Regions from separate parts of the Mus musculus genome. Here regions 2, 3 and 4 are each reported to be linked to region 1. Evidence: microRNA targets listed by miRTarBase, many of them from high-throughput screens and not tested one by one. Region 1 holds a microRNA gene; each other region holds the end of a gene's coding sequence. Distances are from middle to middle.

Region 1 (7,120 bases):
GCCACTCACAGACCTGACCCTGCTGAGGCTGTGCAATGATGATCTGTCCAGGCTGGATGGTGGTCGTAGAACTGGTGGTCTGCTGGCCTTGCTGCTGTCCCTGGACCTGGACAGCAGTGGGCTGCTGAGCCAGCGTGAAGTAGTACTGGACAGGCTCCGCAGGAGTCACAGACTGGCGTACCTCCTCCTGTGGGGTGGAAGGAGAAGCAGGTAAGGGGAAAAAAACCGACTCAGCAACCGCCACAGTGAATTTCCACTCTTCCCTGAAACAGGCTATGTGCAGTTGCCTGCCGAATGCTGAGCTCTCCACATTTGCAGTCAAAGGAGAAGTGGAATTTGGAGACCAGTTGTGCTAAATCAAACTAAAAATAACAGTTTCTATAGGCTTCACAGAACATACAGCCAATTTTCTGAAGTCCCGAGTAATCATCCATTGTGTGATGAGTTGCAAACAGGCAAATAATTACCATAAGCAACAACCATGCACCAGCAGAGCTTGTCAGTAGATTCTGTCAAAGCCTGCGATGGAAGATGCTACCCAAACTTAATATCCCCAAGTCCCAGAAGGGATCTATCAGGGAGAGAGGAAACAGCTTTTCCTAGGCTTTTCCAGCTTTTTTTTCACAACACACTGAGAGCTCTATGTTCATCACTGATGTGTCTACCCCAGCAGAGCATCTAAGTCTAGTTGTACTTAGCCACAGAAGTGCAACCCAGGGGACCTGATGATAGCTCTCCGCTGGGGCGCTGCTTTGGCTGACTAGGGAGGCAGCATTCTGTCCGATCTGTCGGGTGAAGAGATTGTTCTTCAGCTGACGTTTTCCATGGCAGAAGGAGTAAACAACCCTCTCCCAGCCACCTTGAGCTCACAGCTGAGAGTGTAGGATGTTTACACACACTACAACATGGTTACAGCCCAGGGGTTGGTAGGTCTCTGACCACCTAGAGATCAGCGTCTCATCCCGAGTGACCTGTGACACATAGTGTCCCCGTCCAGGACAACAAATATATTCGACCACATGGGCTGAGTAAGAATATTAGCTAATTTTATTCACTTCCTTATTCAGAGCTTTCCCTGTCAGGTTTCAAAAACGAGATACTTCTCAAGGTACTGAGACCTTCTCACCTGCTCAATGCTCTCTAAAGTGCACTTCCATGACACTGTCATGGACACTTATTGCAAGATTTTGTACTTGCATGACAAACTGTCAGTTCTGCTCAGATGTAAGTACTACTGCCTCTCACTTGCTTGCTTGCTAGCTACTGTCCCTGGTAGTTCCATACAGGTACTGGTATATACTACCTGACTGATGAGTCTACTTATCAGACAAAGAGAAAGCTGGAGAGAGAGAAGTACTTTTCTGAATGCATACTGACTGCAGTATTAATTCTTCTAAACTGAACAGCTATAACCAATAACTCTACAAAAGAGTACCTCAGATCTGTGACCAAGTGTGTGGGAAAAGTTGTCCTTGTAGTACCAGGCTAAGTGCCTGCCTGTTAATCCTGTAACTGGGATCATGAATAACTAGCCTCTGAGACATTTCAATCGCAACATAACAAGGTTCCCCAATGGTCATCAACCCAGAACACAAAACTGTTCCTAACGTTCTGGTTATCCAAGCAAGTCTTTAAGCATAAGCTGACCTTCTGCGATAATGTAGTCTATGCTTCAAACCCACAGTTTCAGTCCTCAACCTTCAGCAGAGGTAAAAAAAATATATATATAGAGCTCCTTTTATTTTCTCAACTTCAAGTCAAAGCCAGGTCCATTTCAATTTTGGTTTCTTTTCCATTTTAAGCAAAAGTCAGCTGGCAACCATGTCTTGGCAGGGATACATACCAATACTCCTTTAGACCACAAAACTGAGGTCAACTGCTCTTTCCAAAGCTGTGGAAATAAGTTCAGTGTCTATTTTTCCCCTCACTGAGATCTCCCCTTCCTATTTTAGAAATAGGAAGGCCGGACTTAACAGTGGAAACACTCTTAGCTTATGAGAGTATTAAGAACTGAGAACACAGAGCAGCTGGGGACACGGTCCCTTCCTGCCTTTGACCTGTGATCAGCTCTAGGTGTCCATAATTACAACACTGAACAAGGGTTTTGTTTTGTTTTTCCAAGATAAAAAGCAAATTCTTTAAATACTTCTGCCAGAACCCAAAATAGTGCTTTAGCAAAAGCTCTCAGGCAGGCAGGTAGCCTCTCCCATGTTTTCTACTGCATCCTCTCAGGTAATAATGACTTAGACAGTTTCTAGAACACTGTTGTCAGGACAAGCATGGCTATTTTCAAATTGCTGTGATGGAAGGAGGCACAAGTAAGGTTCTTCTGCTTTATGAAGCACTCATTCTGCAAATGGAGATCAAGCCAGCAGGAAATGATGATGCTTGATTTAAAGAAATGGGTGAAAAGATAATGACATTTCAATGAGCAAGGAACTTTCAACTCATAGCTTAGTCGGGGAGAAGTCAACCCTCAACTACCATCTACTTGCAGACAATCTACTTACTTCCATGGCAAAAAAGAGAGAGGGAGACTCCAAATCATCTCTGAGAAGCCTCATAATCCAGTGTCTCCCTTTCCAGATGGATCAGCACCAAGCCCTAGGAAAACACCTGACCGAATAGGTCAGTACAGAAAGGTACCTGCTCCATGCTAACACTCAGTACAGAAGGGTACCTGCTCCACACTAACAGTGGCTTCTCCAGTGCTGAGACTGAAAAACAGTGACAGTGAACAAACAGTATCACAGCACAGGGTCATCACTACACTGATGAGCAGCCAGCTCCAGACTAGGGGAAAAAATACATTTGCTTTAGTGGCAGGGTGAACTGCTGCCTCCTTCAGAGGGTGTGTTTTGGAGAGTAGGCACTTTTAAAGGACTTTAGGAGGTGCCAGCCAATTTGGAGCTTGGGAAAACTTCATGTCTACAGAGAATTAAAAAATGCTATCTTAGAATTTCAGGCCAGCTTTCAGCAATCTCAACCTTTTAAATGCCAGGCAGCAGCTGTCCTGAATAGGATGCCAATCAATAGCTCAAACACCTACAAAGAACTAAAACCAGGCAGCTAAAGGAGTGTTCTTGCTGTATACCTTTTAAAGGGAGATGGACTAAGTATAGTGGTCCATGCCTTGAATCCCAGCACTCAGGAGGCAGAAGCAGATAGATCTCTCCGAGTTCCAGAACAACCTGGTCTACACAGTCTAGTCTAGCCAGGGATACACAGGGAGAGCCTATCTCAAAAATCCAAACCAAACCAAAGAACAAAAGAGGGAGATGGGGTAGACCACCAGCAAATCTAACACCCTGACAGACCCAGAAGAACAAACAACTTTGGAGGAAGGTATAGGTCAGCAGCTCTCAACCTGTGGGTTGTGACCCCTTTGTGGGATGGAAAGATCCTTTCACATGGATCACCTAAGACTACTGAAAAACAGATAGTTGCATTAAAATTCATAACAGTAGCAAATTACAGTTATGAAATAGCAATGAAAAAAATTTTATTGTTGGGAGGTTATTACAACATGAGGAACTGTATTAAATGGTGCAGCATTAGGAAGGCTGAGAACCACTGGTATAGGATAATAACTTTCTCTTTAGTCATCTATTCAGCAGGCAGCCCATAGTGAACAATCAGTACAATAAGAGCAATGCCTGACTGCATCACAGATCTTACCACCTTGTCTTTAAAGGAAACTCCTGGTGGATACATGGGAGCAAAAATCCAATAAGGAAAACAGGCTCATGGTATTATCAGCTCCAAACGAAGAGAGACAGTCTGAGTTCTTGTGACTTCTCAGAGAGAAAGGAAGTAACCCAAGAAAAGGAGACAAGTTCATGGGCACAAACCTGCAATGTCTCAAAGCCGATGAGCGCAGCCGGGGACGACTGTGGCAGCCTGCCGCTGTAAACATCCGACTGAAAGCTCCTCTCAACACCTTACAGCTTCCAGTCAAGGATGTTTACAGTAGCAAAGACTGCCCAGAAAAATAAAGAGCTTCAGTGAGGCACAACCTGCTCCCATAAGGAGGTGACCCAGGGCTTGCTAACCCAAAAACCCTCATGCAGGGTCAGAATTAATGTCAATTAGGATGCCCACTTCTCCAACAGGTTTTCTGACTGGTTATTTGTACAGGTCAACATGGGGAGAATGGTTGTCATTAAATGACTCTAAACAGTATACTACAAAATAATTAGTTAAAAACACTTATATTTTATGAACAAAAATAAAACAAGCAGGACATGGTATGGCTTTACTTCTCTGAGGCATATTACACTAAACCTAGTGAATCATGCAAACTGCGTGCCTGAAACAATGAGCTCTATAGGACTGGGGTCTATCACAATCACAACTAAGTTATATGCACCCAAGTGCTGAACAAAACAAATGGTGTGATCTTTGGAGATGAACAGGCAGAAGAAGGGCAGACACTTAGTTCTTGTAATTAAAAAGAAAAATGTAAATGGTGGTTCTAAAACTTCACTGGACACCAAAGCATCTAGGGAACTTTAATTATTGATTCCTGGGGTCATGGGGTCATAGGTTCTGACTCAGTGGATGATGGGTAGAGTCATCACACTACAGAGACACAGCATAGAGTAAGAAAATAAAAGCCACTGGCTCCAATCTGATCACTATGCACAAAGAGGTTGTTTCTTAGAATCTGAAAACTGACTGGCTGAAAAAGCTTTTATTTTAGATGAAGAAATCCTGAACTGAGCTTCACCCCACTATCTGTGACTAGTCTTTTTAACTTTGTTCTCTCACTGCAACCCCACCCCAGAGGCACTGAGTTAAAAGTACCCATAAATGAGTAGAAGGAGATGCTGAGGATGATCTGGACTACGGAAGAGAACCACAAACAAGAAATGCTTTGGGTGGGAGGGAGGGAGGAGCTCCGGAGAGCATCTTGCCCAGGCCCTGGAGGTGGCAGCTGAGCAAATCCTCCCAGCTCACCTGGCGCTTTGGAGGTTTCAGTTCATCTCTTGGAACAATATCGATGAGAAAGTCGAACTGATCAAATTTTGTAATTGCCATGGCAATATCATTCCTCTGTAACAAAGAAAAACAAAGTTAAAAACTGGCCTAGGAAGAATCTAGTTCTTTTGGCTGTTATCCTTCAAGTAAAAGGACATGATCCTCTCCTATCCCCTAGTCCCAGTGTCTGGGATTAAACCTAGAGCTTTACACAAGCTAGACAGGTATTCTACCATTGAGCTATGCCCCAGCCCAAGGAGATGACTTTTAGACTGTACTAAAAATCTCTAGGTTTGTCTAGAGCTAAAAATAAGAACAGCTCAATTTATATCAGACTTGCTGGACAGAAATCAACGAAAGAGATACACATATCTCGTGCTCTAGGCCAGGACATCTGAGCCCTACTCACCACTATTTCTGCTTGTTCTGGTTTCAAAGCTTCCATAAAGTTGTAAAACCACCATCCTCTGGCTAATTCAGGACAAAGCCAGCAGTCTCAACTGGCATTCTGTGGTCCACAAGGTCAGCCCATCATTCACTTGTATGATCTTTTTAAAGGCCCTAAGCACTGTTTGTTGTTGTTGTTGTTGTTTTTCTTTTTACAGGCACTTATAATCCAGTCGCTTGATTTTTATGTTACCTATGGGTTTTAGTTTAGAAATCAAAACTGCACTGCTTAATGAATAGTTTAATCCGAATTTGAGCCTGAATACTCAAGCCTGAATTTACTATAGGTAGGTAGTGAACACAGAGCTGAAAAGAATGTCACAAGTGGACTTTCTCTTCAAGTCTGATATTATTCCCCTTCCTTTGAATAATAAAAATCAACACTTTTTCTCCCATATGATTTGTGTACTTTATTGAAAGTTTTAAGGTTAAAAAAACAAAAACAAAACCACTAAGCTCAAGTGAGTGATATAGTTAAGTATATATGGGAAAGTAATTTTTGAAATGTATTTAAAAATAGATCACTTTATGGCTGAAGTGAGAGGTATGATAAATTTGTTTTTCTTACTTTATTTATTTATTCATTCATTCATTCATTCATTCATTCATTTCCCCCCTTCCCTTCTTCCTCTTGCTCCTGGGCCCCACTTGCTCCCGGGACCCACTCACTCCAGTCCATAGGTTTTTTTGTTGTTTTTGTTTTTTGTTTTTTAAAAGTATTATTATCTGTTTCTCATTATGGATGGTTGTGAGCCACCATGTGGTTGTTGGGATTTGAACTCAACATCCAGAAGAGCAGTCAGTGCTCTTAACTGCTGAGCCATCTCACCAGCCCAATTTGTTTGTTTTTCAAGACATGGTTTCTCTGTATAGCCCTGGTTAGTTATCCTGTGGCCTGCTAAAGTAAAACTTTAACAGCAGAATTTGGGGAAAAACTAAACAGGTACGTACTATAAATCCTTGACAATAGCATAACAAGGAAAAGCAAACAAACTCAAAAACTCCTCAGCAACCTCTCGATCCCACATCTGAAGCAAAGGGCCAAAAGGAGTCATGGAAATGTTCTGTTTTTTCCTTCCCTAGTATCTGTCATGGTCCCAAGCCACTGAAATGCAAATCTCCAATCCACCCTTCTTGCCAACTACCAACTTCATAATAAACCCTCCTAACGAAGAAGGGCATTATCTTACAGTCTGCCAGAACTCATCTAAGATGAACACACTAGTATAGCCTTCTTGATAATGACACCTATTCATGCTAACTAAACAGCTCCCTAAGAATGAAATGAAGGAAAAAAATAAAGTACCTCCAAACACACACAAAGGCAAACATTTCAATTCACTTAAATTGATCTTTTCTACCCTTCTTATAGCTCAGGTTAGCCCTGAATTTGGGGGGGGGGAGGGGGAGAGGGAGAAGAAGAGAGAGAGAGAATATGCCAAGGATGACCTTGTACTCCAGAACCTGCTTTCACTTCCCAAGTATGTATCTGTTAGTTTGATGTTTCGTTTTGTTTTGAGACAGGGTTTCTCTGTGTAGCCCTGGCTGTCCTGGAACTCACTCTGTAGACCAGGCTGGCCTCAAACTCAGAGTTCCTTGTGTCTCAGGAATGCTGGGATTAAAGGTGTACACTATCACTCCCACTTTATTGTGCCTTCCTTAATATTTTACTGAGTTACTCATTTCAGTGAAA
Region 2 (7,120 bases), not on the chromosome of region 1:
TAGGGACATGATGTTCCACACGTCACATGGGTCGTCCTATCCGAGCCAGTCGTGCCAAAGGGGCGGTCCCGCTGTGCACACTGGCGCTCCAGGGAGCTCTGCACTCCGCCCGAAAAGTGCGCTCGGCTCTGCCAAGGACGCGGGGCGCGTGACTATGCGTGGGCTGGAGCAACCGCCTGCTGGGTGCAAACCCTTTGCGCCCGGACTCGTCCAACGACTATAAAGAGGGCAGGCTGTCCTCTAAGCGTCACCACGACTTCAACGTCCTGAGTACCTTCTCCTCACTTACTCCGTAGCTCCAGCTTCACCAGATCTCGGAATGGACCCCAACTGCTCCTGCTCCACCGGTAAGACTCCCGATCCTTGGTCTTTAGAATACCAAGTTGGGACCGCAGAGCGGAATCCCCGAGTTGTAGAGGCTTGGCGGGAATAGGCACCTTTAGTTGGCGATTCATTCCGGTTCTTTCTAGAATCCGCTCTTGCAAAAGCCTTCATTAGTTACGAGTATTGTCGAACGGGTCCTTTGGCGGGGTTGGGGCTAGGATTTAGACGCGCAAATGTCCGGTTCCTGATCACCCAGTTAGTGGGGACATCTGGGTTGAGTCCCAGGCATTACTAAACTTACTGTGAATTGCTTGAATTAAGAAAGAGGTGAAGGACCTTTATGTCTTGGGACTCAAAGACATAATCCCTGACTTAACCTGTGAGGAGAAAAGTGGGGCTAGGCTCCCTGCAGCTCCGAGGAGGACTTAGTGAACTGAGCCGGGACTCGTGGTGTTGGCCACTGCTGTAATGCTGCCTCCCTCATGCTGTCTTCTTTCTCCTCCCCAGGCGGCTCCTGCACTTGCACCAGCTCCTGCGCCTGCAAGAACTGCAAGTGCACCTCCTGCAAGAAGAGTGAGTTGGGACACCTTGGGTGGCGGCTAAGGCTAGGGGCGGGGAACTCCTACAAAACTGGCTCTGAGAAATGTCCTTTGCTTCCCGGAGGCCATTGTATTGTCTCGGGGACAGAACTATACAGAGAACTATTTAAAAAAACCGAGGTCTTCTCTGTTGGGGACAGGAAGCAGAGGTCTTCAGCCAGGCTGACCTCTTCCTCCTCCTTTCTAGGCTGCTGCTCCTGCTGTCCCGTGGGCTGCTCCAAATGTGCCCAGGGCTGTGTCTGCAAAGGCGCCGCGGACAAGTGCACGTGCTGTGCCTGATGTGACGAACAGCGCTGCCACCACGTGTAAATAGTATCGGACCAACCCAGCGTCTTCCTATACAGTTCCACCCTGTTTACTAAACCCCCGTTTTCTACCGAGTACGTGAATAATAAAAGCCTGTTTGAGTCTAACTCTGGTTTTCTTGGTGTGGTTTGGCAATAAGAAACTGGGGTGACTTGATAGTCTGGGGATCTGGTTTTGGACCCCCTCGTGCCTTTACCTCCCGCCTCTGGCCCTCACAGAGGGGTAATGTCTTTGGGTAAAGCCAAGCTATCCCATAAGCTTCCTCATGGAAAACAGCTGTGTGCCTGGTCAGGTCTTGTGTTAGGGGAAGGGAGGGAGGGAGGGTGGTCCTGGAAGACTTGATGTCCCATCCTGGAAGCACAGAAAATCTTATCATTTATATTCTCTTTGGATTCTGGTTTCCTCTCACATTGTTGGGTATAAGGAGGTGGGTATGAAAATTAACATAGGGTGTCTCGTATGCTAGGCAGGGACTAACACTGAACTAGATTCCAGAGGGGCTTTCTTGGCTGTTTTGACACAAGTTGCTTACCTTGTCCTAGAACTCATTCTGCAGTCCAGTCTGACCTTGAGTTTTTGATTCTCCTGCCTCAGCTTCCCAAGTACCTGGGATTACAGGAGTGACTGTGTCACCAGGCCATCTCCTATTCAGCCACCAAATGCAGACACTATTGCATATGCCATCAAGATTTTGCTGAAAGGACCCTGATAAAGCTGTCTCCTGTGAGGCTTTGCCAGTGCCCAGCAAACACAGAAGTGGATGCTCACAGTCAGCTATTGGATGGAACACAGGGCCCCCAATGGAGGAGCTAGAGAAAGTACCCAAGGAGCTAAAGGGATCTGCAACCCTATAGGTGGAACAGCAATCTGAACTAACCAGTACCCCCTGAACTCGTGTATCTAGCTTCGTATGTAGCAGAAGATGGCCTAGTTGGCCATCACTGGGAAGAGAGGACCCTTGGTCTAGCAAACTATATGCCCCAGTTCAGGGGAAAGCCAGGGCCAAGAAGTGGGAGTGAGTGGGTAGGGGAGCGGGGTGGGGGTAGGGGTGGGGTATAGGGGACTTTTGGGATAGCATTTGAAATATAAACGAAGAAAATATCCAAAAAAAAAAAGATGGAAAAAAAAGTGATAAAGAGCGTGGGTCCTGCCTGTAATCAAGATATTTGAGATGTAGCAGCAGGAAGGCCAGGAATTCAAGGCTAGGTATTAAGTTTTTTTTTTTTTTTTAAAGATTTATTTATTTATTATATGTAAGTACACTGTAGCTGTCTTCAGACACTCCAGAAGAGGGAGTCAGATCTTGTTACGGATGGTTGTGAGCCACCATGTGGTTGCTGGGATTTGAACTCCTGACCTTCGGAAGAGCAGTCGGGTGCTCTTACCCACTGAGCCATCTCACCAGCCCCAGGTATTAAGTTTTAGAGGGTAGCCTGGGCTACATGTGACCTTATGTCAAAAATAAGTGTCGCCGGGCGTGGTGGCACACTCCTTTAATCCCAGCACTTAGGAAGCAGAGGCAGGCAGATTTCTTGAGTTCGAGGCCAGCCAAGACTACACAGAGGAAACCCTGTCTCGGAAAAAAAAAAAGTGTCACAGAGTATGACAACTCCCAGATGTTTGGTCCCCAGATGTTCTACATACTTTGATTTTTAATTTGTGTGTATATGTGCCTGCCCATGCACACACACACACACACACACACACACACACAAGTGTTTGTGGTGAACGTGGAGGCCTGAGATCTTCATTACATCCCACCTTACTTTGTGAGAAGTGATCTTTTTTTTTTTTAAGATTTATTTATTTATTTATCATATGTAAGTACCCTGTAGCTGTCTTCTGACACTCCAGAAGAGGGAGTCAGACCTCATTACAGATGGTTGTGAACCACCATGTGGTTGCTGAGATTTGGACTCAGGACCTTCTGAAGAGTAGTCAGTGCTCTTGCCCACTGAGCCATCTCTCTAGCCCGTGAGACGTGATCTTTAGCAGGACTTAGAACTGTATTTCTGCTAGACTGGATGTCTAGCAAACCCTGGAGATCCACCTCTGTCCGCTCAGCACTGGGCTTAGATTTGGACTGCCCCTCCGGGCTAGTTATGTAGGTGCTAAGAATCCACACTACAGTGAGCCTCAATGGTGGGCAGCAAGCACTCTAAGGATAGACCCTAACCCCTTACTGCTTTTATTTTCTACACACCTTACACCTGATGCATTTTCTAGGCACCTTAAACACCCCTGCAGGGAACGCCCTCAGCACTCAGCTCAGCCACACCCAACAATGTGACATTGGAGTAAATGATACTATTTGTACGAAGGAAAAAAAAAAAGCTCAGAGAACACAAAGTACACTTTTTTGAAGATTCGACAGAAGACAAATATATGAACTCAGGGGGAAATTGATTAACCTCTGCACACAGCTGCTCACTGCAGTGTCCCGTGTGCACACACCTGCAGCTGCGCTGGCCCAGACATCCCGAAGGAAGTCAGTGATGGCCCCGATGGCCCCTGTGCACACCATATCCCGCCTTGGGAGGGCCTCCACTGTTGTGGCTTAGGTGACAGTTTCTTGCAAAGTCAGGATGAATTTGCTCTTTCAAATTCCAGTACTGTGACCAGGGATTGAGGACCTTTCCCACGTTTGTAGTCTTCCAACTTTAAATGAAGTACTTTGTGTCAAAAACTGCCCAGTGGACTAGGGAGGGTTCACTGGCTATGGAGAGCCTAGGATAGTTTTAGGCCAAAACCCGCACCTATTTGTATAAACAATGGAAAGCAGAGACAAAGTCCCGTGTCTGTCCTCTTTCTAGGTACAAGGGAAGGAGGTGGAGACAAAGACTGGCAATGTCACAGAAGCGACACCTACACACACTAACCTTACTCTCACTTTGACGGGAAGAGCAAGGTGACTACCATAGTGAAGAGTTGAGGGTGGGAAACAGCCAGGACTAGGTTCTTGGAACTTTAATAGGGAGGAATGACCGGCAAACTTGCTAGAACTGGCCAAAAAAAAAAAAATCAGGGTGATTGCAAGCAGCGTAGAGCTGAGCGCAAAACCCCGCCTCCTGCGGGCCGCCCAGTGGCGGGCGCAGAAGAAACGCCCCCTGCTGGGTGCACCCTCTGCACGCGGAGACTGCTCCTGGTGGGAAGCTTGCGCTCAGCTCTGCTACACTTGGTAGAACTAAGGCAAGGACGAGTGCGCTGGTGCTGCGAAGAGGGCGGGGCTATTGCACACAGCCCAGAACCCACTTAGAAGCTGCCAGTCTTCTATCCTATTACCTATTAAGCCTCCCGGGGTGCGGGGGGTTCAACCTCTTCAAATTGTTCAGGGAGCGGAAGTGTACATTTCTGCACAACCCAGCCAGCGGCAAGCCAGCTGAGAGTCATGGGTGCAAAGTGTTGGCAGGACCTTTGCACGCAGAGTGGGGCTTTAACTATAAAGTGAGCAGCAGCAGGCAGGTTCCTTGGTTTCTGTGTGCCTCTCAGAAGCCTAGCTGATTTTTTGTTCATTTCTTTGAACCTCAAGTCATTTGCAGTGGAAATGGCCCCCAGCTGCTCCTCTGCTCCTGTGTCCCTCATAAAGGATTTCAGAGCACACGTTTTTTTCTGAAATAAAAAGTATTAGCTCGGAACACCCCCAAGACTAAGGTCTCAGCACCGACATGGTGAAGTTATTTGGCCCAGAGGGCCAGAGGGCAGGGAATATGGGACAAAGACGGGAGATAGAGGACTAGAGAGAAAGGGAAGGGGGACAGATTGGGGTGGGCAGGAATATTTGTCCTGGAGAAACAGAATACTGTCTCTGGGTCGAGAGGAGGCAGACTTGGCACACAGGAAAGTGGTGATTTATATACCACCAAGGGGAAACTCTGTGTTAGGAGGGGGTGTTTAATTTTAACTGGGCGTGTTAATTAGGTGAGCCAAAGGGGGCTTTTGATTGCCGCACTTCAACACTTTGATAGCTGGACCTTGGTAGTCAGCCTCGGGAGGAGGGATTGGCCACATAAGAGAACAGACCTTGGTGGTGAGCTTTAGGAATGTGATCTCACAGTTTTTTCAGCAAGACAGAGGGAATGGGGGAGAAGGGCAGGCCTGCTAGACGCATGCTTGCCACACCTGGCCAGAGTTGTTTTCATTTCTGGATGAAGTGGACTCCTTACTGCACACTGCTGGTTCTCTTTCTAAGGAGCCCTTTGCTAGTTTGTCCGTCCCCCCACCCCACCCCCACCTCAGCAGCTTCACCGCACCTCGGAAGTTACTAAGTTTCAGCTCCTCCTTCTCTCAAGGTTCTCATTTCAAGGCAGAAAGAACTGGGCGGTAACCTGTTGCGTCCGTGCACTGGCCGCTCTGGAGCGCCTCACTTTTTCTTTCCTGTGGGAAGAACATCTGAGAGTGACTGTACTTCCCAGCAGTAGGGTGGAGTAGCCCCATGGCATGCTTCTGTGTGCCGCACAGGACAGGGGGGTGAATGGCGGGCCCAGACATGCACCGCAATGCTGCCCTCAGGGACCCTGCCCTGGCTCTTGCCTGTGTCTCTAGCTCACTGCTTCTCTTTCCTTCCCACAGGTGGCTCCTGCAGCTGCGAAGGCTGTAAGTGTGCCTCCAGCCAAAGACAAAGGTCTTCAGGGGTTAAAGGATAGCCAATGTCCCCAGAGTTGCACACCCAGAGCCAGCTGTGGCTTCCCTCTCAAGCTCAGCCTCCACCCCCAGATCTTCTTTGGCTGGAGCGGGACAATTAAATTTGATGACTTCATTCTGATCTGGTTTTCTTTTTTTTCTTTTTTTTCTTTTTTTTGATTTATTTATTTCTTTATTATATGTAAGTACACTGTAGCTGTCTTCAGACACACCAGAAGAGGGAGTCAGAGCTCGTTACGGATGGTTGTGAGCCACCATGTGGTTGCCGGGATTTGAACTCAGGACCTTCAGAAGAGCAGTCGGGTGCTCTTACCTGTTGAACCATCTCACCAGCCTCTGATCTGGTTTTCTGTGTGTGGCCTGGGATAAAGGACTGAGATGAGGGATTGAACATAAACACAGAGACCTTGACTGTGGACTCAAATGTTGTAGGCCCACCCCTACACAAACTACACAGGTAAGGCATATTGGGGCTTTGTGTGTTGGTGGGGAGACAGACCTGTTCCGTCCATCCTCCATGAGCATGTTCACACTGCAGTGATCTCTAGCTCCTACTTTCAAGCTCTGACTCCCTCTCTCTCTTCTTTTGTTTTTATTTTTGTTTGTTTACTTTAAAAAAAAGATTTATTTATTGATTATAAATATTATATATTATTCAGACACTCCAGAAGTCAGATCTTGTTACGGATGGTTGTGAGCCACCATGTGGTTGCTGGGATTTGAACTCTGGACCTTCGGAAGAGCAGTCGGGTGCTCTTACGCACTGAGCCATCTCACCAGCCCGTTTGTTTATTTTTTGAGACAGGATTTCTCTATGTAGCTCTGGCTATCCTGGACTCAATTAGACCAGGCTGGCCTCGAACTCACAGAGATCCCTCTGCCTCTGCCTCCCGTTAGGATTAAAGGCGTGCACCATCACGCCCGGCTGAGCTGATTCTCTTACCCTGCTTTGGTTCTCACCAGGTTATAGACATGGAAATTGTGGTTAGAAAAAAAAAATGTTCCCCGAGGGTGTGCATTGCACACACCTTCTCCAAGATGAGGGCCCCACACTGTGAGCAGCAGTAGGTCAGACATCCACACAGGGAGATACCAATGTGTAGGAATCCTGAAAGGACACTAGACAGTCAGGAAGAGCTCCGGGTCGTGACTAGCACCTTTTCTGTGGGAGTGCCTCCTCGAGTCAGGATGAATTTGCCCCTTCAGAGTCTAGGTCTTGATCATTAAGTCGTCCAAGATTTGGAGGCAAT
Region 3 (7,120 bases), not on the chromosome of region 1:
CAGTCCTTTGGAAGGTGTAGTCAGTGCCTTTAACCACTGAGCCATCTCTGTAGCCCCAGGAGTTTGGACTTTCAAGGAGACTTTTTTTTTTTAATAGAACTTGGACTTTTACAGTGTTACAGACTTTATAAAGTTCTGCTTTGTTTTATTTTGTGATATTAACATGGATCCTTAGGGACAAACAAGAAAGGAAAGTTTATGGTTTAATAGTGATGAGGTTGTGTATCAAGGTGAAAAGAAAGTCAATTGGCTAATGTTTTGTCAACTTGATACAAAGTCATCCGAGAAGGAACTTCAAATTAAGAAAACGCCTCTGTCACACTGTAGGCCAGTCTGTGGGCTGTGTGGTGTCTTCTTGATTGATGCAGGCAGTGCCGTCTATGGGCAAGTGGTTCTGGCACAGGTAAGGATGCACACTGAGCGAGCTAGAAGTTAGACAGTGAGGAGGTCCTCCATGGCTTTTGAGTCAGTTCCTGCCTTGAGTTCCTGCCCTGGCTTCCCTTCCAAATGGACAACTGTAAAATGAAATAAACCCTTAACTCCCCGAGTTGACTTTGGTTATGGTGTTTTATCACCATAATAGAAAACACACTGAGACAAACCTGATAGTGTCCATGAAGCATTTTCCATCCTGTTCCCGATCTTTTTTTTTAAAGATTTATTTATTATGTTAGTATAGTACACTGTAGCTGTCTTTAGACACACCAGAAGAAGGAGTCAGATCTCATTATGGATGGTTGTGAGCCACCATGTGGTTGCTGGAATTTGAACTCAGGACCTTCAGAAGAGCAGTCAGTGCTCTTAACCGCTGAGTCATCTCACCAGCCCTGTTCCCAATCTTTAAGAGTGAGGTCTAAGTGCAAATGTACAAAGTCGTGTGATTGAATCTTCTACTTTAGTGTTTTCATGATCACTGAAAAGATAACCTTTGAAACAGAGTCTCAGATAGTCTAAGCTGGCTTCAGGCCTCTATTGCTAAGGTCAGTCTTGACAGAACTGTCCTCCTGCCTCTGCCGCCCAAGTGTTGGAATTAAAGGATTATAGTTATATGCACTGCTTGGCACAGAAGATATACTTTAACCACTTATGAAGCAGTGATATCAAGGTTCACATTGTGCTCAGAGCATTTTTTTCTTCTTCCCACATGTGCTGTTTTGTTTGGCTTCTGTTGGCCTATTTGGAGTGACCAAAGTACATTTGGAACTGTGGTCTGGCCATGCCATCACGGCCTTGGCTCTCACTATGACCTGTGAAGCAGTGCTGTGTCATGATGGGATGGAGGTGTGGTGCATCATTGCCCTGCCTCTGAGATTTGCTTGTTTTTGTGAGGGGACAGATTCACAGTGTGTGTGGTGTGCATGTCAAGGCCTGAAGTAGACATCGGTTGTCTTCTTTGGAGACCCTCTACTTAAATGTGCTGAAACTGTGCCTCTCACAGAACCCAAGGCTCACCAGTTCTGGCTAGTTTGGCTAGCCTGCTTGTCGTACAGACTGTTGCCTTACATGAGAGGACTGCAGAGCTGCCACACTTGCCTGACTTTTATTTAAGTTCTGGAGACCCAAACTCTGGTTCCCCATGCTGACACAGCAAGCATTTTGTCCACTGAATCATCTCCATAGTCTAGGGACTCCTGCTCTAAAACTACATGAACTAGTCTTCCAAACATTGCAGGTGACAGGGGTAGGTTGTGAAGGAGGCATGAAGACAGAGAGCCCTCCAGTGAGGGCTTATGATAGCAATGGCCAGCGTGTCCATTTTCTTAATTTGCCAATTCCTTTCAATAGTAGTATATTCTAGTTTGTGTGTATAAATGTTTTGTTCCCATATACGTGTGCCATTTATATGCCTGGTGCCCGAGATGACCAGAAAAGGGCATCTGATTTCCTGGAACTATAATTAACAGGTGGTTGTGAGTTGTCTTGTCAATGCTAGGACCAAACTAGAAGAGCAGCTGGTGCCCTTAATTGCTGAGCTGTCTTTATAAGACCCCTTAGTTTCTGATTTGGCAAGAATAGCCCAGATCCTTGATGTTTTAATACCTTGTCAAATGTGAAGGTCTGATTTTGGAGGCGTTTATTAAACTTCGTGGATATCTGATTCTCTGAAACCCTCCAAGTTCTGTGATTCCTTATGCATGCCTGTACATAGTCCTGGGTATAGAGGTGTCCATGAACAGAATGCTCCTGCTTGTGTGGAGGCCACCGGTTTAACCTTGGGTGTCATTCCCCAGGTGCTATCCACTTTGTTTTGTGAGACAGGTTCTTTGATTTGATTCAGAGCTTATCAATTAGGCTGGGTGCCAGAGAGCCCCGAGGTCAGGTTTTGTCCTTAGCACTGGGATTATGAGTGTGTGCTACCACTGGTTTCCCTGGGGGCTCTGGCTTTTTTCCCCTTTCTTTTCTTTCTTTCTCTTTCTTTCTTTCTTTCTTTCTTTCTTTCTTTCTTTCTTTCTTTCTTTCTTTCTTTCTTTCTTTCTTTCTTTCTTTCTTTCTTTCTTCCTTCCTTCCTTCCTTCCTTCCTTCCTTCCTTTCTTTCTCCAAGACAGATTTCTACTCAAAGTCAGAGATCTGCCTGCCTCTGCCACCTGAGTGCTGGGGTTAAAAGCATGTGCCACCACTACCCGGTTGTAACACATATCTTTATCTTGTGTTGCAAGCATTTTACCATCTGAGCCATCTCTCTCCAGCCCAGGCCTGTGATTCTTGGCCAAGGTTGTCTTGGCATAACTGAACTGGCTCCACACCTTGTCTAATTTCCACAGGTACTGGGGATCTGAAATCTGTTTCTCCTGTGCTCGCAGCAGGCAGGCACTCCTACCCTCTGAACTTACCCGCCCCAAGCCCAGTTTATAGATATCGGCGCAAGCATTAAAAAAAAAACACGACAGGACACCAAGAACGCTTTATTAATGTTTATTTCTAATAACAAGAAACAGAACATCAGTCCCTTATTTGTACAAAAATACCTGAAAGTTTACAATTAGGTTCACGAGCCAAAGAGCTATATAGCACAAGGTGAAGCAAAGCACGCGGGATAAAGGTTTTGTCTATTAGTTAACACCCTCTGCATTCCCTGAAAACGGTTACATGTCAGGTCATTTTACCGGTCACTGCAGTTTGCACTATGACATCACAAATCTACGATGAGCTAGAAGCGCCCTCGGAGGCACAGCGATCGAACAGGCTGTCAGGTATTTAAGTGCAGAAAGGGGAAGACAAAACATCTAAGCTGAGGCACATATTTCTTCAAAGTTTAAGCAAACAATAAAAGAAAAAAGAAAACACGTTTGGAAACTCTTAACACCTAATAATAGAACAGAGTCTACCTATTAAAACCCTAAAAACCCAAAGCATTTGGCAGTTTCCTTCTCAACTTAGTCCAGGTGGTTACACGGAGTCGTCATTTAGAAAAGAAAATCACAGGCAGAGATTACAAAGTCAAACAGGCTCCAAAACAACCCTGAGCTGTCCCCTTTACATTCATGTCAATTAAATACAAAAATAAAAGTCAATTGTCCTTCAGTCTCTGATTAGGGGGGCTGGGAACCCGCTAACCTAGGGACCAGCTGTTTCAGGTGGAATTCCCAGCTGCCTGTGCAAAGGGCTGGCGATCTCGGGGCCACTGAAGTCTGCTACACTCAAGGTGGGTGGGTTGCAGCCTTCAACAATTCACTTCGGCAAGGGAAGTACAAAGTTCTACGTCAAACCAGCTACGTACGAAATTGTGAACCAGAGTCAAGCCTATACTTCCTCTTAAATAAAATGCATACTTATAAATATGAGATCCACATCCTAGTTGTCTACTGTTGAGACGAAAGAGAAATGGATTCTGCACTGTGGGGACCGGTCTGTGTAAACTGGAAAAAGAAACCCTAGGGTTGTTTGTTGTCTGTAAAAGTTCTGACCTTAAGTCAGCAAAAAGAAATGAGCACGGTAAAACTGAAATGTCTGTTATCTGTCTGTAAGGGGAAGATCAGTGGGAGCCTGCTGCCAGGTATGAACTTGAGAATTCTCTCATTGTCAACTTAACGATTAACTAGTTTCGAAAGAAAGAGAAATGCATTTGAGCACTTATGCATAAAAAATGGTTAACTAAAAAAAAGTCAAAAAAGATTAAAATGAAAAAAAAGGAAAAAAATTCTTCATTTGTTGTAATAACATCTCGTGGAAACACGGTTGCATGGTCTGTGAACTACAGTGTTTCTCTACTGTGGGCCAGCTTGCCACTGGCCTGCTTTACAAAGCGCTGTCATATCTATCTTCCACTATGCTGTCAACCATGGCAAATCAGAAGTGGCTCCCTGGGGAGCACTTCAATGAGTCGGGACAGGCAATCTAGTGGCTAACTCAGGTATGTAGCAGACTTTCTGGGTGGTATCAAGAAAGGGAAATGTGTTCACCACCGTTGTTGTCTGTGTGTTTCTCAAGGCAATCCTGTCTGCTACTCTCATGCCTGATAAATCATCAAGGGGACAACAGAGGGTCCTTCATGGAGCTCAGGGGACCCAATGATAACTCCGGCCACCTTCTGACTCCTCTCTCTCTCTGACTCCTCTCTCTCGGAGGAGGCAAACATCATGCTCCTAAAATCTGTCCAATGTTCACATCCATTGTGAGGTACTTCTCACCCTAAGCCAGCAGAGGCAAAGCCTCTGCATACCCTGCTCCTGCTGGCTTAGGGGGTTTTCAGTAGGGTGCAGAGGCCATCAAGCTTTCAAAGACTCAAAGCCAGCTTATGCTTGTGCCTCTGCAGCGTTTCCTTCTCTTTATCACCATAGATGCTCAGAGTGACAGAGCACAAGGCCAACAAGTTGGCGTTTTTTTCTCTTTCGATCCTTTAACCCCACCCCTACCCCACCCCTGTGGGAGAAGTGAAATGACTGAGGGTACTGCAGAGGGTAAAGGCAGCGATTATTCTACAACAGTGGGCGGCTGTGAAAATGGGAGGCACAGGGCACCCCAGATGGACTGTGTGGCATCCACAATGAATAGCAATGTGTTCCAAGAAGGCTGGCTGACATCAGTCTGAAGCTGAGGTCATGCAGCTGTGCTGTGCTGGGGAACAGTGAGTTTTCCAAAGTAATGAGGTCTCCAGCACCGTGGAGAACGAGACACACTAATAATACATGACCAGACGTCAGCACAACAACAACGATGACCAGACTGTGGCAGCTTGACTGCGTCCACAAAACATGCTAGGTGTCAACTGCGGTTGTCACCTTTTATCTTATTATTTTATTTAAAAAAAAAAAAAAAGCTTTTCAAGTATAATGGGAAGGACTGGAGCCAAACCCACACTGCCGCAACCTGCAGAGAGCAGGATGTTATCTAGAAAACTTGGGGGACCCATTTGTAGGCTAAAGCCTGCCAATTCAAAAATTCTTTGTCTGATCTGAGTTGCAAAGCCACATCCTCTCCTACCATAGGCTGAGTACAACATCGACAACGAAGAAGGAGTGCAAAAAAGTGATCAATACAAAAAGTAAACATCGCGGTTTGAATTGTCAAGGTTATTCCAGGGCAAGAGTTCATTTCCAATCATTTTTCTGCGGTTTTCACCCTACGTGGCCTAATCAAAATCGTCATTCCAGTTTCTTCCCACACTTGCACTGGATCTCTTCCCTCCCCCAATTTTAAATGGCTGACGCAGAGGGAGGTGGTCCTGTTTGATCCACAGCGGCAAATCTTTGTGAAGTCCAATAACTAATTGATGTAGGTCGGTTGGTACCGATCAAAAAGCCATGTTGTTCTGAGTCCTTGGGTGGGAGTAGGTGTGTGTTCTCACCCTCATGCAGATCTCTCTTCTCCGTTCCAGTGTCGCTGCCTCCAGCCTCTGTGAGTGGGCAAGGAGGTCATAAGGCCACGCGGATGCAGTGGTGTTTCAGCTTGCAGGGCAGAACACCTTTGTTGAGCTGGTAGAAGTCGACCAGCTGGATCAGATCGGAGAACTTGGTGTTCCCATCATCCAGAGTGAAGAAGGTCTGCCCATCATCCTCGCACTGTGGGGACACAGAAAACATTTGCCATGTTAGACAGTGTGACCTTGGGGGACAACCTGTGGCCCTGCAGGCAGGGAGAGTCAGACTATATCGGCCAGTCTCATAATTTCCATGCTTTTAAAAAGGAAAGCAAAGGGGATGAGAAAGGTGTTCTCTAATGGCACAGTGGAATGGACCAAGGGTAGAACTGTTTCGTGATCCAATGACCAAGTAGGCAGAAGAACATAAGCTCCCCTTGGGAGCCACTTAGCCATCAGCAAGTTCCTTTTAGAATTCTGAGAATTCTGAGCAGCCACGAGACATATCTACTCAGGTCAGACCATTCCTGTGCTGAAAAGAGCCAATGTCAAATCTGCTGTAAGAGTCCAGGAGACCTAGATATTCCTACCTAGCTAGCTACACATAAGCTGAGGTCTCAGGGCAACAGCAGCCTCAGCAACATTCCCTCTTGGAGTCTCTTGAGAACTGCTTCCCCAGACTTGAGGCCATTGGTGCTTATCTATAAGCTTATGTTTAAATTGAAAACTGCACTAGAAACAGAACCAGGGGACTCGGAAGGGCGGGCTGATTTGAAGGCATCGGTACTTACAGGTAAGATCTGGAAGTTTTTAATCTTCTGGTGATGGCACAGTGTCAGTACGAACGCCTTTGGATTACTCTGGCTGTCACGAAGGAGGAACAGCCTGGGGAGTGGAAAACCAGCAATTTATAATTGATTCCTTTTAAAATCTAAAATGAATTGTCTATATATGAGCATCCATGTATGCATGTGTACACCAGCTGGAAGTGACTGAGAAAAATGGGCTTGCAGCCATGATACTTTGGTGTTCTGGCACATGAGTGCTAGTACCTGAGTGACTTTCAGTGGCTACAGGGGATGCAGCACCCAGAAAGTAGTCTAGAATGTCATCCAACATTGAAAGGAACCTGGGCCCTGAGAATATGGCTGATTCTGGTGAGGCAGGGAAACAATAAAGATGGAACTGAAATGTTCTGTGTTCTCTAATGTCAGAATGTCAGAAAGTGTTCAAGGATTGACAGGGAATTGCCAAAATTATCCAACAAGAGAAGCTTTTCCCTAGAGAAGATGCTGAGCACACAAGGGAGGAGTGGAAGACTAG
Region 4 (7,120 bases), 61 Mb from region 1:
GCTGAACAAGCCACGGGGAGCAAGCCAGAAAGTATCACTCCTCCATGACATCTGCATCAGCTCCTGCCTCCGGATTCCTGCCCTGTGTGAGTTCCTGTCCTGACTTCCTTTAATAATAAACTGTGATGTGGAAATATAAGCCAAATTTAAGTGCCTTACTCCCCATCTTGCTTTTGGTGTTTCATCACAGCAGTAGTAACTCTAAATAAGACACTACTGGAAAGAGTTATTAAATAGAAAGGTGGTCCTGGTTAAACACCTCAGTGCCTCAACTGAGGCTGTTGATGAACCAGATTGTCTTGAGCAAAATCAGATTAAATTGGTTCCACCAGGGCCTACAACTAAGCCTTGAACTACTTCCATCCCTGGCTGGTGAAGTTCCAATATTCTGTCTGCGAAAAATAAATCTTTGGTGGAGGAGCTTTTAAAAATAAAATTTAATACGTAGTATCTGGCATCACATATGATAAGAAAAAAAATCCAAAATGAAAAAGACGACAGTCCAAACATATAAATATGTCCCAGATGTCCTGGTCAATAGACCCTTAGAATAGCTGTGATTAATATGATCAAGTCATACATGACAGAATGGAGGATTTTAGTATACATTAGGATTTTAAAATAACCAAATAGAGCCCACTGGGGACATATAAACCAAGACCACAATAGGGTAGTTTGAATATGCTTGGCCCAAAGAGAGGCACTATTTGAAGATGTGGCCTTGTTGGGGTAGGTTTGTCACTGTGGGTTTTAATACCTTAGTCCTAGCTGCCTGGAAGCCAGTCTTCTCTTAGCAACCTTCAGCTGAAGATGTAGAACTCTCAGATCCTCCTGTTCCATGCCTGCCAGGGCTGCTATGTCCCTACCTTGATGATGATGGACTGAACCTCTGAACCTGTAAGCCAGCCCCAATTAAATGTTATCCTTATAAGAGTTACCATGATCATGGTGTCTATTCACAGTGATAAAACCCTAACTAAGACAAAAGTTGGTACCAGGAGTGGGGTAGTGCTCTTATAGGCCTGATTATGCCTTTGTTTGGCAGAATGTGGATTTGGGAACTTTGAATTTGGAAAGCAGTGGAATCCTTTAAGTGGGGCTTAACAGGCTATCCTAGTAGGAATATGGAAGACTTTGTTGCTGAGAGTGATTTAAACTGGGCAGACAAGGCAATGAAGTTTCAGTGAAGAATTTCAGTATGTGGAATAGAGACTGTTTTTCTAGTATTTTGGCGAAGAATGTGACTGCTTTCTGCCATTGGCCAAAGAGTCTGCCTGAGACTAAGGTGAAGAGATTTAGATTAACTACTTTGAAAAAGGAAGCCTCAAAACAGCTTGTTATAAATTCTGTCACAAGATTACTAAAGTTCACTCTTATGAAGAACATTTTAATGAAAAGGAGCAAGCTGAGAAAGGAAAAATACATATGGTTTAAGTATTAAAGGGACACTAGGAAGTAGAAAGGAGCTGACTCCTATGTTCTAGAAGATAACAGATTAAGGGAGTAGGACTTTGGGGCATGATCCCACCCAGCTAAAATTAGGTTCAGGCAGGGTTGTACACAACTTTAATTTCAGGAAACAAAGCCAAGCAAATCTCTGAATTCAAGGTCAGTTTGGGACAGAGCAAGTTCTAGGTGAAGAAAAGCTTAAGTACACGCCTTTAATCCTAGCATTCAGGAGACAAAGCCATGCAGATCTCTGAGTTCAAGGACAATCTACAGAGCAAGTTCTCTGACAGCCAAGTTTAGGCAGTGAAGGAGTTGGAAAACTGAAAGCTGGCAATAGAATAAGGGGGGGGGGTGTATTCCAGCCCCAGCAAGCAGCAGAACCTGGCAGCTTCAGACATGTGGCCCTGGCTTTAGAGTTCAGAATAGAAGGGACTACTGGGACAATTGGTGCTGGTTAGCTGGAGCTAAGAAAGCAGTGATTAAGAAGAGAGGTGACATTTCACTGAGGTGAAATCTTTTGGGAAGTATTTTCTGAGATCACAAAAAAAGCTGTGCCCCAGAGGTAGCCAAGGCTGTACCTCATGCTGCAGTTGGACTTGGTAATGTGTAAGAGTCACCCAGGTGGTACTGGTTTTGAAGGTATGAAAGGGGTCATAAAGAGCTACTGAGGCTTGGCACTGTGAGAGGCCAGGGAAGGCCACTGGAGAAGGTGCAGCTTCAATTGTAATTGATGGCCCAGGACTGAAGAAGTCATGCAAAGCATGAAGAGAGCCTCTGAGAGGCTATTGGTAAAGCCTAGTTGCAGGAGAAGACCCCAGAGTAGTGGAGATGCCAGTACTATAGGATGACCACCAAGAACAGCAGCAGTGGTGGGGTAGAGCCAACCAGAGCCTATAGTGCTACAAGAGTGCTGGAGATGTGACCCAAGTCCTTTGGAGGATCCCAGAAGATCGTGTGTGAATCCCAGACATTGGAACAAGAAGCTGTAACACTGAAGTTGCCTTGGAGATCCCAAGATGTTGGATGACAGAGCTGTGGTGTATCTGCTGAGGAAAGCTGCTATCAGGAAGTAGAAATAGCCCAGGAGAGAGAACTTTGTTCTAGTCAACAAAGATGAAAAAGAAGTGGAGATTTGAAGACTGCTTTGACATCAGACATAAAGATGCAGAGTTTGCCTAGCTGTATTGCTTTTGGGATTACTGATAAGTGATTGGATGGATCTCAAAAGACTTTGAAATCTGGACTTTTAACGTTGTTGAGACTTCTATAGATTATGGGGACTTTGGAAGTTAAACTAAATGTACTTTTTTATTATGCTATGGCTAGATATGGTCCCCATAACTTCATGTGTTTGAACAAGCCTATGGGGGCCAGGGAGTGGAATGTGGTAATTTGAATATGCTTGGGTCAAGGAGTGGCACTATTTGGAGGTGTGTCCTTGTTGGGGTAGGTATGCCACTATGGACATGGTGTTAATACCTTAGTCCTAGCTGTCTGGAAGCCAGTATTCTGCTAGTATCCTTCAAAAGAAGATGTAGAACTCTCAAATCCTCCTGCACCATGCCTGCCTGTACGCTGCCATGCTCCCACCTTGATGATAATGGACTGAACCTTTGAACATGCAAGGTAGCCCAAATTAAATGTTTTTTTTATAAGAGTTGCCTTGGCCATGGTGTCTGTTCACAGCAGTAAATCCCTAAGACAGATGGCAAGTGTGCATCCACTAAGATGAATATGACAAAGGCAGGAAACACTCTCTGATAAGGATGTGGGTAGGAGAACTCTACTTTGATGCTAATGGGATTGAAGGGTGCTATGCACTTTTGAAATGGCAATTCTGCCAAAGGTTAAAATTACAACACTGCAGAACTTCTAGGTATATAACCAAGAGAAATAAAAATATATCAGCACAAATAATTTAAACGTTCACAGGCAGCATTATTCATAATAGCCCCACTTGAAAAGCTCAAATGTCCATCAATCTGTATAATTTAGTTGACAGTACAGGAATTAAGTAATGTTCGTTGTGATTTTGTTGTGGGTTTTTTTTGTTTGTTTGTTTGTTTTGACTATAATCCAAAATAGTGACTTTCTAGAGCAATGACCAAAAGTTAGATTCAGGATCCAAAATGAATAAAGCACGAACTTATTCTTCTCAGATCTCAAGAAGATTGGAGGTGCTGACAGGAGGCTAACACATCTGGAGAGAGCAGGACAGTCAGCTAGTGCGCAAGAAAGAAGCAGAAAGAGATGAAATTGGGGCTTAGTGGTGAAAGCTCTTATTGTTCTTGCAAAAGACCTAGGATTGGGCTAGTGAGATGGCTCAGCGGTTAAGAGCACTGACTGCTCTTCCAAAGGTCCTGAGTTCAAAACCCAGCAACCACATGGTGGCTTACAACCATCTGTAATGAGACCTGACACCCTCTTCTGATGTGTCTAAAAACAACTACAGTGTACATATGATAATAAATAAATCTTTTATAAAAAAAAGACCTAGGATTCGTTCCAGCACCCACATGGTGACTCACAACCATCTGTAACTTGTTTCAGGAACCTGATGCCCTCTTCTGACCTCCATGGGTACCAAGAACACACATGGTACACATATATACAGCACTCCTAAACATAAAATTAAATAATTTTAAAAAAGAAATCTTTGGTACCGTGTTTGTCCATTAGGTCCATTGACAGGTTACAGATTGGGTGGGTTTTGAAAACATTGGCAAAGAGATTTTTTTCCCCAAGACTCTATGATGGTGTTTTATTAGGTTTGTTGTTTTTGTTTTAACTGTGGTTAGTAGCTGTCAAGTATGTTTGGTTTGAGTCATGGGTATAAAAAACAAGTGGACTATATCTTTAACCACTATAGCAGAATTTTAGCAGGGCCATTATACGTGGCATGAATTCCTGTTTGAGAAGGAAAGGGTTGAGTCAGCCAAAGGTGACAGGGCAAAACGGATTTCAAGTAACTTACATTAAGCCCCCAAATGCATGTTTGATGCAAATGTATCAAACAAAATTTTATGTCTATATGGCATGAATAAACCTGGAGAATATTACACCAAGTGAAGGAAGCCTATTAGGAAAGTGATGAAGTGTGACTCTCCACATAAGTCCAGAACAGGCAAGTCAGGAGCAAGAGGGGGTTGCATAGGACTGAAATCTTTTGTTGATGGGGGACATATACTAAAGTGCATGTCTGGGGAAGGGAGATAAAACATTCTGATCGGGGCCTGCAAGATGGCTCAGAATGTGAAGGCTTGATGAACTTAGTTCAATCCTGAGAACCCACATGGTGGAAGGTGAGAACTCACTCCCCACAAGTGGTTCCCTGACTACACACAGGATACAAAAGAAAGAAGGGATGGAGGGAGAGGAAAAGGTAAATTTTTTAAAGGTTCTATTTCATTGGGATGATGGTTGCTTAATTCTGGGGGGGGGGGGCATTGAGTGAATAAATTATATAGTGATTTATGTATTAAATAAAATTGATTTTGTTTTGTATAGTTTGATATTTGAGACAGGTCTTCCTTTATTCCTCAGGTTAGGGAATCCATTATTACCATTAGTATTCACCATTATATTGGTGGGTCAGTGCAATATGACGAGAAAAAGAAATAAAAGGCACATAGAATGGAAAAAAGATAAATTCATCTTTATTTGAAGATAACACGATTTAAAGAATCTGTTTTTAAGAAGCTGCTAAAGGTAATGAGTAGATCTGACTACTGTAGGGCATAAGGCATACTCACAAAATTAATTATATTTCTATATGTTAGTACTTGAAAGCTCAATAAAGCCAGGCATTGTGTCTCATGTCTATAATAATAGCACTAAGAAAACTGAGGCAGGAGGACTGACCCCAGTTTAAGGCCAGTTGGGTTAACCCATTTGGAAAAAAAAGAAAAGCTGAAAATTTTAAGATATCTAGAATAGTATCAATAGTATAAATGCTTATAATAAGTTAAACAAGATTTCGCCTGCAAGTATTATGCACTGAAGTTCATAAAACACAGCCAGGCAAAATAAAAGTCCTTAAAAAAAAAAAAACCGCCAGGTGGTGGTGGAGCACACCTTCAGTCAAAGCACTCAGGAGGCAGGGGCAGGCAGACCTCTGTGAGTTCGTGCCCAGCCTAGTCTACAGGGTGAGTCCCAAGCCAGTCAGGGTTACAGAAAGAAATGATACTGCAGTTCTTCACCCAACCCTCATGCAACTGTCTTTGTGGAGATAAAGTAGCTTCATTTTACATAAGAAGTTTTGTAAACAGCTAATTTTATTGCTTGATACCAATTGGTTGTTCATGATACATACTTTTCTGCAAGAAAGCAATGAATGAAATAAAGGCATAGAGAGGAAAACTTGGAAAAACCACAATATATTAGGATGTCACTTAATTAAACTTGTATGTGATTGGTTAGTTGTTTTAGTTACAGTTTCAAATCTTATAGATACAGAAATTCTACTTCTTTCTAGAACAAACTTATATGTCCTTACATGACAGTGGGGGAGACAACAGATTTCTAACTGCTGAGCTTTTTACTTCTGAGGAGAGTCAACATTGTTACTTCTTGTCCTTCATAGTCTAGAATTCATCTGGGTCATTAGCTTCTCCAATTTGATTGCTAGGGCTATGTTTCCTTTAATCTTCAACTTTCCTGACATAAATGCCATGGTTGGCTTTAATTTCCCTAAAACGAAAAATAAAGACAGTGAAAGCATTAGTGACCTAAGGAATATGCTACTTGAAGAACATGCATTCTAGGAAGAATTCCCAGAGTCACATAAATTCCAGAGCACAGAGACGTCTACACAGCACTTCATATTACTATCTAGGGAATCTCACTTCCTGACTTAGATGTCAACAATACCTTACAATACAAAAGATAACATGAGAAACAGTCAGCAGAGCCAGGTGTGGTGGCGCACGCCTTTAATCCCAGCACTCGGGAGGCAGAGGCAGGTAGATTTCTGAGTTTGAGGCCAGCCTGGTCTACAAAGTGAGTTCCAGGACAGCCAGGGCTATACAGAGAAATCCTGTCTTGAAAAAAACAAAAAACAAAACAAAACAAAAAAACCAAAAGAAACAGTCAGCAGACGGTAATGGCAAGAAGCTAAAGATGCTACATTTATACATATGCTGGTTACAGTACTAAAGAAATAGCCCCCAATAAATTCTGGTGGACAAATACTATGTTATTTAATTTCCAATCTGTTATAGTTCATTAACTCTTTAACTATTTCAAGTTTAAATTCAAGAAATCAAATGGTGTAAAATGCACAAAATATTTACAAATGATTATTAAGCTGGGCATGGCAGCATACATCTTGTAACCAACCCCAGCACTTGGGGGCTGAGTCAGGAGGATCATAAGTTCAAAGCCAGCCTGAGTTTAACAGTGACATTGTGTCAAGACAAACAACTAAGATCATTAAGTATATAGTAGTTAGGAGCTGGGGAGATGGCTCAGTGGTAAAGTACTTGCTGCACAAGTGTTAGGACCTTAGTGCAAATCCAGCCCAAGAAAAGCTGGGCACTACAGTGCACATCTGCAATTCTAGTGGTCCTACTTTGAGATGGGAAGCAGAGACAGCTTTCCACAGAAGCTTGTGGAAATTAGCATGGCATATACAGTAAGGAACAACAAAGACACCCTGTCTAAAGCTGGAAGG

The links. Region 1 holds the annotated microRNA mmu-miR-30e-5p (UGUAAACAUCCUUGACUGGAAG, at 3,948-3,969, opposite strand). A microRNA usually pairs through its seed, bases 2 to 8, with sites in the 3' UTR of a target mRNA and lowers its output. Matches are read on the target gene's strand: a 7mer-m8 pairs with bases 2 to 8, a 7mer-A1 pairs with bases 2 to 7 and ends in A, and an 8mer does both.
Region 2: the mRNA of Mt1 is a reported target of mmu-miR-30e-5p. Seed matches in the 3' UTR shown: 7mer-m8 at 1,276-1,282.
Region 3: the mRNA of Grb10 is a reported target of mmu-miR-30e-5p. Seed matches in the 3' UTR shown: 7mer-m8 at 5,483-5,489 and 7mer-A1 at 3,852-3,858.
Region 4: the mRNA of Hsdl2 is a reported target of mmu-miR-30e-5p. Seed matches in the 3' UTR shown: 8mer at 5,709-5,716.

Annotation. Positions count from the first base shown.
Region 1 is chr4:120,768,713-120,775,832 of GRCm38, forward strand. Mir30e (microRNA 30e) reads right to left here and starts at 3,985; the gene lies at 3,894-3,985. It overlaps Nfyc (nuclear transcription factor-Y gamma), which reads right to left. Exons shown (of 10, transcript NM_008692.4): 5 at 4,960-5,055; 6 at 14-187. It overlaps Mir30c-1 (microRNA 30c-1), which reads right to left and starts at 910; the gene lies at 822-910. Mir30f (microRNA 30f) reads left to right here and starts at 3,894; the gene lies at 3,894-3,985.
Region 2 is chr8:94,178,992-94,186,111 of GRCm38, forward strand. It overlaps Mt1 (metallothionein 1), which reads left to right and starts at 98. Exons shown (of 3, transcript NM_013602.3): 1 at 98-347; 2 at 832-897; 3 at 1,111-1,336. The coding sequence starts at 320. The coding sequence ends at 1,202. Gm39228 (a long non-coding RNA gene) reads left to right here and starts at 4,428. Exons shown (of 2, transcript XR_001778759.1): 1 at 4,428-4,673; 2 at 5,799-5,991.
Region 3 is chr11:11,927,611-11,934,730 of GRCm38, forward strand. It overlaps Grb10 (growth factor receptor bound protein 10), which reads right to left. Exons shown (of 17, transcript NM_010345.4): 16 at 6,589-6,682; 17 at 2,889-5,999. The coding sequence ends at 5,853. Among named protein-coding and RNA genes, the nearest start is that of Ddc, 33 kb to the left of the region's middle.
Region 4 is chr4:59,616,653-59,623,772 of GRCm38, reverse strand. Hsdl2 (hydroxysteroid dehydrogenase like 2) reads right to left here. Exons shown (of 11, transcript NM_024255.3): 11 at 5,079-6,138. The coding sequence ends at 6,026. Among named protein-coding and RNA genes, the nearest start is that of E130308A19Rik, 6.0 kb to the left of the region's middle.